Linked DNA regions of Oreochromis niloticus. The main gene of each other region encodes a partner of the protein of the gene in region 2 in a complex. Links are inferred from orthologs where the notes say so. Each region holds a gene or a part of one and is shown on either strand. Other genes may lie near its edges.

Region 1 (7,404 bases), on a different chromosome or scaffold from region 2:
CACAGCCTAGGTGATGTTTACCACCTAAGCTCAGATGGCTGGCCCGGCCGAAGTCTGCTTTTGCCTGAGATTTCGTACTGTTAAAAGAGTTTTTCCTTCTCACTGACACCAAGTGCTTGCTCTTAGGGGTCGTCTGATTATTGGGGTTTTATCTCTATTATGGTAGGGTCTTTATTTGCACTATATAAATAAAACTGAAATGAATTTAACTGTAATAAGGCAGAGTGGGGGTTCAAACCAGCTCTATAACTAACCCGTTGCAGGGGGAGCAAAGCTAAATGTTGCCCCTGGTGCAGCAGCAGTTGTCGTTGTTGTTCCGAAGCCACCGAATGTGCCTAAGAAGAAGAGAAAAGAAATGTGCTCAACGAGGCGACAAAACCCCCCAAAAGCAAACCAACAAACAAAACAGGTGAGAGAATGACAGAATGAATTCACAACTGCTACCATTAATAAGAGGAGAATGAGAATTTCACTACAATATAGCGATTTACCTCTACACAAAGGTGAAAGTGTACTGACTCTTCACAGCAATCAAATGAAATGAGTAAAAAAATTCAACATTTTGTCTCTTCATGCAATCACAGCGATGTATTGTGTTCATGAAATGAATCACCAGGTGAAGATAAAACGATCCTTGATCCACACAGATATCAAACAATGGATGGAAATGTAAGTTTACAGACAGAGTGTACTGATTCACAAAGGTCATCTACCTGTGCTAGCCAGGCTATTACCAAAATTGAAAATTGTGCCAGTGGTGGTTGCTGTACCAAAGCACCCCACATTAAAGCTGACTGCTGCCGGGTTTGCATTTAAACCGAACCCCCCAAAACTAAACCCACCAGCCGTGGTGTTTCCAGCTCCCAGCCCCCCAAATCCTGCAGCCAAAGCAGGCAGGCAGCGAGAAAGAGAGAATGACATGGAATTAAATGACACAATGCCAGATTCAGCACGGACTCATTTATTGTAAAAACAGTCTTCAAGTGTCTTAAAAGAAAAGCTACGCGTCTGAACAATGAGCATCTTACCAGTGTTGGTGGAGCCAAAGCTAAAGCCTGTGGCTGGTGCAGCAGTGGTGGTGGTGGCTGCCCCAAAACCAGGGGCTGTTAGAGCTAATGAAGGCAAAGCACACAGAAATAATACATTATATATGCATGGCTTTATTTTGCATTAGTTAGTAAAACGAAACATTAACAGCCAGCAGAAGAGGGTCTTTAACTTCTATGTAGCAACCGCTGAAGGAATTTTTTTTTTAAAAAGGGACCGTTTACTAAAGTGCCCACAATTCCAGTTCCCAGATGTGAGTGAATCCCCAGACTCCCATGATAAAATGCTCAACTTCAGCTATGAAAACCACATTAACAGCCTAGTAGTTTTGGACTGTATGTAACTGTCTGTGTTGAATACTAGTAAGGCCCTATTTAGACAAGATCACACAGGCTTTGAGGCTAGCTGGCAACTACGTGGCAACCACTGGTTGCAAGGGAAAAAAAAAACACATTCCCTGGTTGGCGATTGGTTGCTGAAGACTGCTGGCTGTCACTGAGTGAAATCGGTTGCAACGAAAATGCTGCATCAAAAGCATCTTATGGAAGATGATGACTTGTCTGCAAACACCTAACTACTTGTCGAGTAGTAGTGAAACTTGGAAAAAGTGCGACAAACCAGAAACGCAGTTCTGTTGCCCTCAAATGACATATGCCTCAGCATTTCAACCAATACGTTTCAAAACATACAACTTTTACTCTGAAGGTGAACACTCCCAGTTTACAGTTTGTGTCACACTTTTCGCAGTTTTACTAGTGCATGGAGAGCAGTTGGTGTATCTTCCATGCAAACTATATGCGACCACTTATCTGTTAGCAATCACAAGGAGGCTTTTCAATGCACCACTGCATTCTTCTTTGAGACCAATTTCACAGCAACAACAGCCAACAACCACTTGCTAAACAGTGAGAAAATGCACATTTGGTTGCTAATCCAAATAACCAGACCTCTTGGAGAAGCTCCAGGAATGCTTGCTTTACCACCAATGCCTTTCAGGTGGTGGTCTTCATCAAGCTCATCATGAACTGGACCCCCTGACAATGTTTATAGCGTTGGTGCCCTTTTGAGCATTTTAAAATGAATTTTTTGGCAAATAATATGGCTTGCTGTGTGATACCATCCATCCAAGCAGTTTGGGTTTATGAGTGACATTTGAGTATTTAATTAGTTTGTTATTTAGGACTGATTAGCAGCTGCCTGTATCTGTGAGGTGCACCATATAGTGAGTGCTTAGTTTGCCAGTGTTAAAGCTTTAAAAAGGAAACCCAAGAAACCAACTGGTAGATATGTTCAAAATGCATCGAGAGGTGAAGAAATGCCCAATTTAAAACAAACAAAACAACCCAGAACCTTTGAGCCCTAGACTGAGGGAACCCAGTGGGCTCAGTTATGCTTTGAGGAGAAGGGTTTGGGAAAAAACCCATTCTATGTTCATATTGGTGGCGGTTACGTGATGATAATGCCCCACGCACAGGATAATCCCCGCAAGGAGGAATCTGGGTCTGAGCTGTGGACTTACTACCGAATCCGGATGAGGCTGTGGTGGTAGTGGCTGGGGTCCCGAAGCCAAATGTTGTCGATGGCGTAGTTTTGGCTCCAAATGAACCGAATGAAAACCCGGACGTGCCTTTTAGAAACAAACAAACAACGAGAGAGCGCTGTAAGTACTGGGTGAGTTTAGCTTGTTTTAGCTTACACACGGGCATCCAAAACAGTTAGCCACAAGAGCTCGGTCTCATTGGAGCCCAGATTAGCACCGAAACACGCGAACACAAATCCGACTACAGTTCATTAGTTGCACTGACTCAAGTGTAAAAGCTCTCCGTTTTCACGTGAGGTCTGTCGTTAGCCGGTAGACGAACCCACCGTAACAACTGAGGGTGAACCATTAGCATTGCCATTTCTATTTATAACTCATGTACAAGCATTAACACAGCTTTAGCTTCGACATGAAATATGTAACACATTACCAGCTCTTACAAGTATTTCCCAATTAACTAAAAAATATCCATACTTGCTGCTGGGTTGCTCGTGGCACCGCCAAAATTGAACGCCATGTTGAGTGCTGTCACCACAGACACCTTCTTCTTCTTCTTCGTCTTCTGCTGCTGCTGCTTCTTCGTCTGACTCTGGTCCAACTGGGTGGCACACTACCGCCACCTGCTGTCCCAAAATGTTAATTCAACAGCCGCCGAAACAAATAGAGTACTTTTATGAAAAATATTTGTGGCAAGGAACAGGACCGGTGTTGTGTCAATAAGTGAGATGTTTCCGTGTGTCTTCTATGTGCATTATATTTGATTATATTGGTAAATAGATTGCAATCAAGAGGGGGTATGAAGGGGTTTTATATATAAATAAAGAAATGACCTGCTTTGCAAGTATGATTATTACTCTGCAATACTGTACCAACATTATAAAATATATGTTATATAATTATATCGTTTTTTTTTTTATTTTAGCTTTTTACATTGCAATGGGAATCTTCCTTCTGGAAGATTTTAAGCCAGCATGTCATTTACAACTGTTTAAATCCTGGGAATCAATTTTTGGGCACCCTGCAGATTTATTTTCTACACATGCATGATGGAAATTAGCACATTGCATCTCTATTTATTGAGATCTGGAGACTGTAGAGGCCATTTGAGTACAATAAACTCTTTATGTTCAAAAAATTAGCTTGAAACCATTTGAGATTTGTGAAATGATGCATTGTTCTGCTGGAACCAGAAAATGGGTACACTGTTAGAAGGGATGGACATGGTCAGCAGCAATACTCAGGCAGCCCGTCATATTTAAACAATGCTCAGTTGGTATTAAGAGGCGCCAAAATGTGCCAAGAAGATAACATTACACCAGCACCACCAACAACCTGCCCAGCTGATACAAGTCAGGATGTTTACAACAGCACCATTCAAATGTTGCAGCAGAAACTGAGACTGGAAAACATTTTCCAACCTTCTATTTTCAATTTTGGTGAGCCTGTGTGAATTGTAGCCTCAGTTTCCCCGTCTTAGCTGACAGGGGTGGCATCGCTGTGGCCTTCTGCTGCTGTCGCAGATCTGCATTAAGGTTTGATGTGTTATGCGTTCAGAGATAATCTTCTCCTCAAAGTTGTCTGGCCATTCTCCTCTGACCTTTACAGCTCACTGGATAGTTTTTAGACCCTAGAAATACTTGTGTGGGAAAATCCCAGTAGATCAGTAGCGGTTTTTGATACGGGCGACACGGGCGGTTGCCCGGGGCGGCATCACGGGCAAAAAAAAAAAAAAAAAAAAATTGCTCGTACTCACGCTGCCCCGACATGATGCCAGCGCATTTTGGGAATGTCGTAGGCACCGATCGGTTTTCTATCGCCCATTTGCTGGGAGTAAGGCCGCCATCCGTTTGCGAGGTGCGCCTGCTGCTTGCGGCACAGGGAGGAGAGGGCGGGGCGGCGGGGGATTCTCTGGCTGGCTGGAGCAGCATCTAATAACCAACCCGCAAAATAAAACAAAATAAAAACAAACCAACAAACACGAAAACATCAGACATAATGATACAGACTTATAATTTGCACCGATGTTTTTTCGAAATTCTATACGCGAAAAGTGAGCGCGAGAGCCCTCGGTGCGCCTGCTTGCTGCTGAAGTCAAAGTAAACTTTATTGTCATCTCCGCTACATACAGTCCAGTATATAGAGAGACGAGACGACGAGGCTCCAGTTACTGCAGTGCAAGTAAACAAACAATATAGTAAGAAAATAAATCAATAACAGGGATCAATAACAATTTAAAATTTATAATTTACAATTTGATGATTTAAAGTCTCACACACAACCCGTCGAAAGGGGAGGAGAGCCCTGCTGCTTCCAAATAGAGCACATTTCATTCATAATGTTGTAAATCCAAAAACCATTATGTATTCATGATCTGAATCCTGGGTTGTGTGAAACCCCAGAAATAAACCCCAGACAAAGTGAATCTGTGAACTAAGGTGTAGGTCTATTAGGTTATGTTGTGGTGATCCTCGGGTTGAAGGATGGGTGTTCATACTGGAGTGCAAAATGAAAACCAATGGAAGATGGACTAGAAAAGTTCAAAGCCATCAGGTGCTCAGTTTAGAAAAAAGAGAAAAGAAGAGGAGGAGAAACGAGCAAAAGATACAGGTAAGCAGATGTGTCATTGGATAATGGCAGGTCATGTATCCTGAAACAATCAGAATCAGAATACTCTATTAATCCCTAAGGAAATTATGTGGGTTACAGTTGCTCCAAGAAGAAATGGTAAAAATGGTAAAAAAAAAAAATGGTAAAAATAGTAACAGTAACAGACTAAACTCCAAACATTATGTAACATTTTTTACACATTTACACAGAGGGAGTGTTCGCCCAGGGCACCAGACAGGCTAGGACCGCCACTGCACTGTAAAATGTAATTCTAGATGTTTGTTATTTCAACATATTATTCTATATCAGTTTGACGATAGATGACTGAAGTTGTTGTTATAACATAGAATTACAAGTTAAAAACGTCCCAATTACACCAAAAAAAGCTAACTTGAAAACTCATGTCCAGCTAAATCAGAAACTTATGTGAACTTGACAATGTGGGTAAGTTGAGCACAGCAGGATTCAAAACTGCCTCACGTGACTCCTACCGAGGTGCATCATGGGGAATTGGCGGTTAACGACATGCTCACTTTACTTGGACGTTTTCTAATCGTCTTCTTTGGAATATGCTTTCAAGGTGAGTAACATTGGTTATAACTATAAGGAAAGAGAGCTACAAAAGTTGGAACATGTTTTGAATTTATGGCATGATGTGTGTTTTTCTCTTTTACCGAAATGTTTGCTTTAGCTAATGTAACTTTAGCCGACAAGGTCCAGCTTGTGTGTCATGACCAAACTTGACCTAATAAACTGACACATGGCCTTTTTTATGGGTTTAATGTGGCACTGACCAAATCACAAGTATTGTGCCGCTAGCTTTAAGGTTGTGCACTCAACCACTGTTGCGATATTAGCAAGCTAACTCAGCTAATTAATAAAGCTTATTTCATATTGTCTCTGTACTTGTAAATTTCTTTCAAGTTCACAGGCTGTTGTATTTTGGTGGAAGTTCATTTTGGCAATATTTCCAATAACTGACTGGGTTCAAAAAGAACTTTTTGGCAGGACTCCGATGCTTGTTGTCATCTGTTTACCCCTATGTAATCACTTAAGTTGTTATTAACTGCTGCATGCTAAGCTGCAAGAGTGCACTGAGGATTGAGACAAAATATGGTCTACAAACCAGCATTATATTAGTTTTTATCAGATAGTCCTCCAGTGTGTTTATTTTTTGCTTTAATTCTATTGTGCAGTTATTTGTTACCCTGAAATGCTTTATGCTTAACAACAGCTCACTATTTTAACTTATTTTTGAACTCTTGTGATCAGTATGACTAGATTGTGTGAGTTTCCATACTAAAAGAGCTGTAGTGATAAAATAATTGGCATCAGAGACACTGATTTTTGGCATGGTATACTGCAGAAGTTTTTTGTTTTTGTTTTTTTGCATAATTTACCTTTTAATTAAACTGCATTCTCTGTATTGTAACAAAACTAATATTGTTTATATGTCAGAAAATTAGCAAACATGAATAAATGGCGAAAACAATATAATTATAACATATATTTTTATTTTACTTATTTTAGGTCTGTGAAGCCAAACTTGATGCTGGGGATTTATTTTTGTCAGTGGAGTCAAATGGTAAGTTACAATTTGTGCATTTTGTCATACTGGAAACACCACAGATTATATTGTAACTTAATAGCTCTGTAGAACAAATGATATAAAGATTGTAGTGTCAGGGTACTTCTTAAGAAGTAATATGGCACTATTGATGATCACATGCAGGTGGCATAAACTAAATATTCAGACCTGTTACCAACAAATGATTCATTAACAAAAGCAATGGAGCAGACTGTTTAGGTTCTTGTGGTTGTAATAACATCCATAACTGCAAGTTTGTCATTAATTTATTTTCACAGGTCTAGATGATCACATCTGTCTTTGTCATTTAAATGAGGTGGACTTGCAAACTTTGCACTCTTTTGGGTAAATTGCTGTCCACTACATATACACAGAATCTGCACAGTATTTCAGATCTAAAAAGGGAGTATGTAATGGACTTGCTGGCTTTAATGTAAAAAGCCTGTTGTGTAACTTTAATGAGGCAGTTGGACTAAAACAGTATTGCTCATCAAGGTAAACATCTGAGGAATAAGGAAATTGTTACTTGTCCTTTTACTCAGTGTTCTTTTAATCGCACATTTACTAAAGTTTTACATCACATAAGTCATTTTCACAATCATTCTACTTTAAAAGATTTCAA
Region 2 (7,853 bases):
AAGCTGTAAGCTAATGATAGTTATATAAGAGCCGATGCATGCTGGTGCAATAAGCTGTACATTTTACGTCCAATGGATGCATGATCTGATTAGTCGACTGATCGCAGAAATAATCGGTGACTAGTCGACTATCAAAATAATCGTTTGTGGCAGCCCTACCCACATATTAAGTTAAGTTCATCTGAAGTCCAATTTTATATAATTTTGTTTATCTTAGGTATATCTACAGATGCTTTTAGGAAATGAACACTGATATTGAACTTCCTGACTTATATATTTTGCAACACTGCATACACTATATACTGTGTATCCACTAGGGGTTTGTAATGCAAGTGTCTGATTGACTAACTTTTTAATGACAAAAAACGTGCATCAGAAATGGACACCTGTACCAACATAAGTACACTGTTTTTACCTGTGCCGTCTCCAATTTCAGTTTGTCGATGGCCAAAGCTTGGCGCTGCAGACCGCTGGCGCTGACAGACAGAAGCTGTTTGAGGCTCTTGATGTCATCTTGGACTTTAGAAATGGCCTTTGATGACATTCTGCTTATATCCTCCTGAACTTGTTTTTGCTCTTTCACAAATTTTCTGCAAAGGAATTGAGAAAAGAAGGAAATCACTTGTAGATGACATAAAAGCTCTCTGACAGATATGCCAAACTATCAAAATATGCTTTCAAAGTGCTACTACTCAAACTACATGTATGCATCTGGGATTTTACACAGAATGGGGGAAATCCTAGTGACCTCACCAGATAAAATTTGGGTTGGGTCATACTGCTGCATTCAACCTAATAAACACCTGATAAAAATCACACACCAATACTTACTGAAAATTTTCAACATCCTGACAAATAACTGGGGGCAGGTTCTCATCTTTTAGAGCTTTGCTGTCTCTGAGGGTGAGAAAAAATGTTTTTCATCATTAGAACAGAAAGGATAGTCGGTGCTAAACAATTAACAGCAGAGTGAGACACTCATTGTCTCTCAGTAATTTTTTCTCTTCTCTGCATAACAGTGTGGACTCTTTTGTTAGACAAATTCCATAAGACAGTAAAGGACCGCGTTGGGTCACTAGGACGTACTGCGCATTGGCTCCAGAAGATGTGTCGCTCTTATTCTCAGAGGAAGTGCTGAAGTCGACTCCACCCAGGCCAATACTCGGAGCAGGAGGTGCTGATGACGCTGTCGAGGTTGCCAGCAGAGAACCGAACGATAACCCGCCTCCTGCACCGAGAGTAGCCTGACCCAGACCTGCAGCAAGACATAATCATGCAGTTTACAGGACTGTGACAACTAATTAAAAAGAACACACTGTAATTCAAAGCAGTCACTGTACTCCCTTAATTATCGCAAACACTTTGCATATCTAACTCAAAAGAAGTCTGAAATCATCTATCCTAGTGATGGTATTCTGTTAATACTTGGCCATGTTTTAACACATAAGCTCTGTAAAGCTGACAGTTTGCCTCTCACCTGTGGGTCCAGTGCTGGAGAAGAGACTGCTGCCTAGTGATGGACCTGTTGAGGCTGCTGTGGTGGTGGTCGTAGTGCCGCCGAGACCGAGGGCAAAGCCAGTGGCTGTAGGCTGCTGTGGAGCTGTGGAGGTCAGGACAGAGCCAAACGTCAAGCCTGTCCCAGCAGCAGCTGTCGAAGAGGTGCTAGTAGCTGTGAGGGAGAACGGCGTAGCTGAGGCTGTGGGCTTGTTGAAAGCCAAGCTAAAGCCAGTGGTGGCAGCTGTACTGGCTGGGGCACCTGAGAGAAAGTAATTGTGTTTAAAAAACAAAACAAAAACAAAACAAAACATAGTTATTACCTGTTGTTCAGAAACACTTCAACTTCAACTTCAAAATACCCCAGAGAGAACCCCAAACATACCTAATGTGAGGCCTGTAGTGGGCGCAGCAGCACCTGAAATAACACAAGGTCCCAGCATAAGATGGGCAGCTGGCGGAAATATCACAAATAGTTTTATTTCTTTATTATTTTGCATTCTTACTTGAGGCAGGTGTATTGAAGGAGAATCCTCCAGCAGGTTTCTGAGCAAAAAGACTGCTTCCTAGGCCAAGAGATGGGGTGCTGGTGCTGGTACTGGGGGTTGCACTTGCTGTACCCAAAACTGTACCAAAAGAAAAGCCACCGGTATTGGCCGCAGGAGCACTTTCAAAGAAAAAAAGTAATAGGTTTAGGCCCATACATTCTTCTACAATATCTTCTACAAGTTTCAAATTAAGGAAAGATTGACACTGTGTTATGGTTACAGTACACACAGATTAACAACTAGGACTTTGTCAAAGAAAATACACAGGGTCTTAAATTTCTATATAGAAGACCTAAAAGGTGATAAGTGCTTTACAGATGGATGGTAATCCCAACCACATTATTACCAGTTATGAACTAATTTCCCTCTTTTTAAAAAAAGTAACTAAAACTACTAAAGCTTAATTGTTACTTCAAACACTTCTCCTGGTAGCCCGCAGTTTGCAAGAGTTCACTCTACAGTGCCTGCATGTGCAAAGTTTCAAATTATAACAGAGTTTACAAATTTATCTCATTAAAATGCTCATCTATAACCCGACATTGCTGAATAACTCGGGAAAACAACGTACACAGCACTGACTTTGAAACTCGCAAGCCGTATATGCTAACGCCAAGATACCTCTGGTTATGCTAGCGTTAGCTAAGTGGGCTATCTGAAATTTGTCGTTACCTGGTTGCGCCCCCAAATGTGAATCCTCCACCTGTGTTGGTGGACCCAAGAGCTCCCGAACCAAAGTTAAAGCTAGACATTTTCTTTTAAAAGGCACAGTGTCAACACCAATCGGTTATGTGGGCTTAGCTCACTTCTGAAAACATCACAGCTAACACGACAGTTAGCTTAGTCGCCCGCGTGAGGGCCGAGCCCGCGGTCCCGTCTTCACCAAAACATACTTGAACTCATCAGCTCTCTCACTAAATCCCAAAATATTCAGTTGCTACCCGCTATGTTTACACAACCTGTTCCTCCGCTTCTATTTCTTAAACCTGACAATTATCGCAGGGTGCATTCACGCATGGTGTCACTTTTCTTATTCCCCGCCTGGTATGTCCTATATGCTAGTGCATTTTGGGTAGTGGATTTTCTTTTTTCAACTACATTAACCGTCATCCCCGCAGATATAGCGTCTCGTGATGTGTCACGCATGCGCATGGGATCAAGTCTGGCAGTCCTTAGCAGCAAATGTATGTTGAATCCGGTGTTCCTTTCAAAATAAAAGAGGCAGCTACAGACTATAATTACAACGCGGTAGATGAATAGCTCAGAGTACATTAATGTATTTGCAAAATTGAGTATAACTGGTTGCACAATGCTGATTCAAAATTGTCATTGTCTCTGTGAGTTTAAATAATCTGTTACTTACCTGATAAATGAGCAACAGCTCCATCATACTGAACCCGGGGCGGACGAATGGTTCAAAAGTTTGTGTCAGAAATAGTTTTTGGTAACCTAATGAACCAAAAAATTATGAAAACAAATATGTTGCAAATATGTTATCTGAGCTTTTCAACATTTGTTGAATTGTTCCACGTTTTTTCTTTTGGCCCAGAAATGTTGCAGAACATCCAGGTCATCTTTTGCAAACTCTGGAAAATATATTTTATCAATATTAATATCAATTAATGTTTTAATTTCATATAAACATATTAATACATGTTTCAGCAGGGATTTATTCAGATCTTTTGACATTAGGTTTGGGTTCTTTTTTTTGTTTTGCTCTCAGTGTGATATTTGCTAGATGTAACCTGTGCACAGTCCTGAATTTCATCCCTTTGTAGAGGGTGCCAAGAGGAACTGTGGCACTGCATGAGGAAGTCAGCAGTGGCAGGGAAGTATGTGAGGCTGGTGCTGTACTTGTTTTAGGACAGCAATACAGTGGTGAGGTGTGTGGTAGGCAAGATGGAGCCTAGCGACATGGAGAGAAGATCTGGTCTGGAGAGAAGAGGAATGGAAGTCAGAAGAAACAAGACAGAATCTGTGAGAATTAGAGGGAGACATGTGGAATGATAAAGCTGCAAGGAACAGAGGAATGATAATGAAGTTGGATGAGTTTACCTGAGGTCACCCATCCGAAACAATGGACAGATTTAGAGATGAGATGGACTGAACATATACAGAGGAGCAATGCTGTATCTACTGGACGAAAGATGTTGACTATAGAGCTGACAGGGACGAGGAAAGAGAAAAACTTCAGAGGGGGTTTGTAGATATAGTGAAGGGGGGCATGCAGGAGAGATGGGGTGAGAGAGAGGAAGATGATCCGCTGTGGTGATCCATAAGGGGAGCAGCTGAAAGAAGAAGAAGTGGACAGTTTGTCTTTTTGTGGACTGACCCACATCTGTAGAAAGGTTGCAGCAGCCTATTCCAGAGTCATGCTGAATCCTTAGTCTGATACACCGTCAAAGTAGTTATTTAGATAGTCAAAGGATGAACCAATTTCTCTTGAGAAGAGCACACGTTGTAAGTATATTTGCTTTAGTTTGACAACATTTTATAAGTAATCATGCCAATAATTATTATAGGTTGTAATTTTTTTATTATCTTTTATTTTGATTTCATTTTAACTTTGCTTTTCATTCAGTTAGTTTCCCAAAGTAGGTTTGATGGTTTCAGTTCAGTTTTTGTTGTTTGGAAAATGTTTAGTTTTAATCTTTTGAAGTATTATTGTTTTTGGAAAATATATACTACAGGACGGATTTAGAAAAAAAATCAGTGTCAATATTATAACATAAGAAGAACTTTTTGAAAGCAGTTGACTCACAGTCATACAGACATACAGAATCTCAGTAAGCTTGTCCATCAATGGCTCATTCTATTATTTTTCTTAGTTTTCCGAGTTCATTTCAGTTCATTTTCTTTATATCAAAAATCTATTATTGTCTTTTAATTAACTAAAGCGTTTTTCACAAATAGTTTAAGTCTTTAGGTTATATTAATCACGATAACTTCAAATGGCTTACAAACTCTGCCCTACAACCGCAACCACCAAAAAAGTAAAGGAATTCAAAGTTGAAGTTGATCCGGCTTTTATTTTGAAAAACCCCACCTCAAGCGCCGACGTGCTTTGCGCGAGCTTTACGCGGATGGAGTGAAAATAATTGACAATAAACACATATCGTATGCCCCCGAAAAAGTGAAGGCGGCTTGTGCAGGAGTCGAAGCTGTCACATCACCAATGATACATTTCAATCCGGAGGGTTTCGTTTGAAGCTTTGCAGTCGCTGACAGCTGTTTCGACCCGGGGGGGGGAAAAATGGAGCATATCCGAACGCCAAAGGTAGCTAACGTTTCTTGCTAATTGCAAATGGATGGGATACAGTCGGCAGCTGGGCCTTGTCTGTTTGCGATTTTGTTGGAAGGCTCGAGTGAGGCTCCGTTTTCTGGCCATCAGTGTTCAGAGTGAATTTGTGTGAATCGACGTTATAGCGTGGCGGCTAGTAGGTGTCGCCAACGACTCCAAGTGTCAGCAGACGTGACGAGCATCAATGAGCCGTTTGTTTTTTCCCGTTCATCAGGCAGATCGGCTTCCTCTATCTAATTTTACTACTTGCACGCTCTGCTATTTGTTGCGACAGATATCCACTGTCAGTACAGCCATTGAATTCAGTGTGATTGAAGAAGCAAGGAGAAGCCGGACCATATCCAGCACAGACACGCAGGGCTGACTTGGACTGTACGTCAAATAGGGCCATCACAGTTTTATCATCGGCATAAAACGCCAGACAGTGAGCTCACTGCCCGGGCTAAATCACTCCAGATAGACCAGATTAAAAGGAAAGCAACCAGCTGAAAAAGGCGAGAGTCGAGGAGTGCTGCAGTACAAGTTTAGCCCTGCCAGGCCTGTACTGCTAGAAAATATACTGCTGTGTGTGTGCGCGCAAAAGAGCTGATCTCTTTAACCCTTAAATCATTGATCCTTTCAAATCTAATCTACAGCCATTCAAAAACAACCAACAACAGCCAACAGTCCTAGTACATATAACCTTTGTAATCTTCATAATTCTTTTTAGTCTGCCACATGGTGGCTGGGTGTGCTTAATGTTATCTAACGTCTGTGTTTTTGATCATGTTAGGAAGCAGTATGACACGATTCTTGAGGTTCAAGGACAATTGTGTTATTTGTCGGTGGGGAAAAAATAAAGAAATGCTGAGATCTGGTATGGAAACAGACGGGGAACACCCATGCAGAATGGGTGTTCCCCGTCTGTCTCCACACCTTTCAGTGGTTTGTCTGGTTTAAAAGTCGGAGGAGATTATTATTTGATGTTATAGTGTTGAAAACAAGCTGCTTGTTGTAACAATCTGGGTGGTTTAAGTTGCATAGGCACGTAACAGAATGAAACACAAATCCTAACATTAACTTCCCTATAAGATGGTATGAGGTGGTCTCTGTCCTCCCTCTCTCTTCCCTTTCTCTCTAACCTGCTCATTTATTCTCATGCAGACACACACACAAACACACACACACACTCAGCTGACTTCCTGTATGTTCCAAGAAGCTGACTTATGACAGAGCCGCGACCCGCAGGTTGCTGAGCGACCTAGAGAGGCTTGATCGTTTCATCATATCTCAGCAAACGGAAACAAAGTGGAGGATGTCTGAGTCAACCAGAAACAGCTAATGTGATGAATCATGGATTCGGACAGGTAGTGCTAACAGCACTGCACAGTCCAAAAATCAGTGACTTTCCAAATGCACTTTGGCTATAGAGTGAAGGTGGCAGGAGCTTTTATTTTGATATGTCTTGTCTCTGTGATGCAACAGTGCAGAGCAAAGTCCAATGGTGATATTGTTTGGGTTTGTTTTATATTGTTGTGACACCAGTCTCATAAAGATCTTTAGTAACGTTTTAAAAAGATTGTGCTGTATAAAACTGCTTTCATTCATTTATTTATTTTTTTCTAGGATGAAAACCAGAAGCACATTAAAGGTTTTTTTTAAAACCTGTTATAGCTATTAGACCTAAGCCTTCTTCCTGTGTGAAAACTCGTGACTTGAGTAAATATATAACTCACTATATCTGCTATATCTGCATTTATGTGGTATTAGTGTTAAAAGTTGCTACACTTTCACTGTTGCAGCAATTGAATATAAATTTTCAATAAGGAAGTAAAAACAAAATGAACTGTGTTTGACTTTAAGCTAGATAGGATTGTTTAATTAAGAGGCAGGTGGTTTATTTATTAAGGCAGTGGCAGCAAATGTCACTTGTGATTGCACTTATTAAAATTAAACTGGCAGCTGATAGTGAGGGCCAGGTGGCCAGGATTAATTGGTGTGCTAGCCGGAACTGGTGCCAGTAATTTTTCTGTCAGGTGTCAACCCTGCTCGCAAGATGCCGTCTCTTGTAGTCTCAGTGTATCCAGCAAGAGAAGCAAAGGGTGCTCCTGATTATTTAGATATTACCACTATGTACATCTGTTTTTGCAGGTGGAGCAGGTGCGGCTGTTGGATCGCTTCAGCAACAAATCCATTCACGGCACTCTGTACCTCACAGCCACGCATCTCATCTTTGTGGAGAGCAACTCTAACAACTCGGCCTCTGCTGGACAGGAGGTCTGGGTGAGTAGTTTTTGTGCCAACTATGCTGCCCATTAATGCAGGTTTCAGAGTGCTTGCATATGGATGTCACCTCAGCAAATGCACTGTTGTGCAGAGGCAGGAGGATAGCAAGTGCTCACAGAACTTTTACCTCCTGTTGCCAGTTTTCTATAAATTGATGGTGCAGTTTCATGCAAACCAAGTGTGCTCTTTAGACAATTTGGTCCTCTTTTTAGTCTACTAATAAATATTTATTACCCTGCAAAATGTTT

The links.
Region 1: the proteins of nup58 (region 2) and nup54 are in contact, whole or in part, in a crystal structure (PDB 4JO7), measured with the Homo sapiens proteins. The link is inferred for Oreochromis niloticus from reciprocal best matches to the Homo sapiens genes NUP58 and NUP54. Residues at the interface, in NP_054808.1 of Homo sapiens: Pro342, Tyr345, Phe346, Leu349, Val350, Phe353, Gln356, Leu357, Tyr360, Gln363, Ile364, Leu367, Leu371, Gln374, Ser378, Ile392, Tyr393, Phe396, Leu399, Ala400, Leu403, Ile406, His407, Val410, Lys414, Tyr417, Tyr420, Arg421; in NP_059122.2 of Homo sapiens: Tyr453, Leu459, Glu462, His466, Leu467, Gln469, Gln470, Gln471, Gly473, Leu474, His476, Leu477, Ile478, Ile480, Ile481, Asp484, Leu485, Ile488, Lys489, Leu490, Val491.

What each region holds. Positions count from the first base shown.
Region 1 is NC_031972.2:17,441,129-17,448,532, reverse strand, and holds the start of nup54 (nucleoporin p54), read right to left. Parts: upstream 3,222-7,404; 5' UTR 3,105-3,221; coding exon 3,062-3,104; intron 2,675-3,061; coding exon 2,567-2,674; intron 1,113-2,566; coding exon 1,029-1,112; intron 879-1,028; coding exon 714-878; intron 336-713; coding exon 255-335; intron 1-254. UniProt on the Homo sapiens protein: Component of the nuclear pore complex, a complex required for the trafficking across the nuclear membrane.
Region 2 is NC_031974.2:22,932,896-22,940,748, reverse strand, and holds the start of nup58 (nucleoporin p58/p45), read right to left. Parts: upstream 3,168-7,853; 5' UTR 2,792-3,167; coding exon 2,712-2,791; intron 2,162-2,711; coding exon 2,001-2,161; intron 1,913-2,000; coding exon 1,880-1,912; intron 1,757-1,879; coding exon 1,478-1,756; intron 1,256-1,477; coding exon 1,087-1,255; intron 898-1,086; coding exon 832-897; intron 591-831; coding exon 416-590; intron 1-415. Other genes in the region: phosphatidylinositol-3,5-bisphosphate 3-phosphatase MTMR6, read left to right, coding at 5,293-5,316, 7,471-7,602. UniProt on the Homo sapiens protein: Component of the nuclear pore complex, a complex required for the trafficking across the nuclear membrane.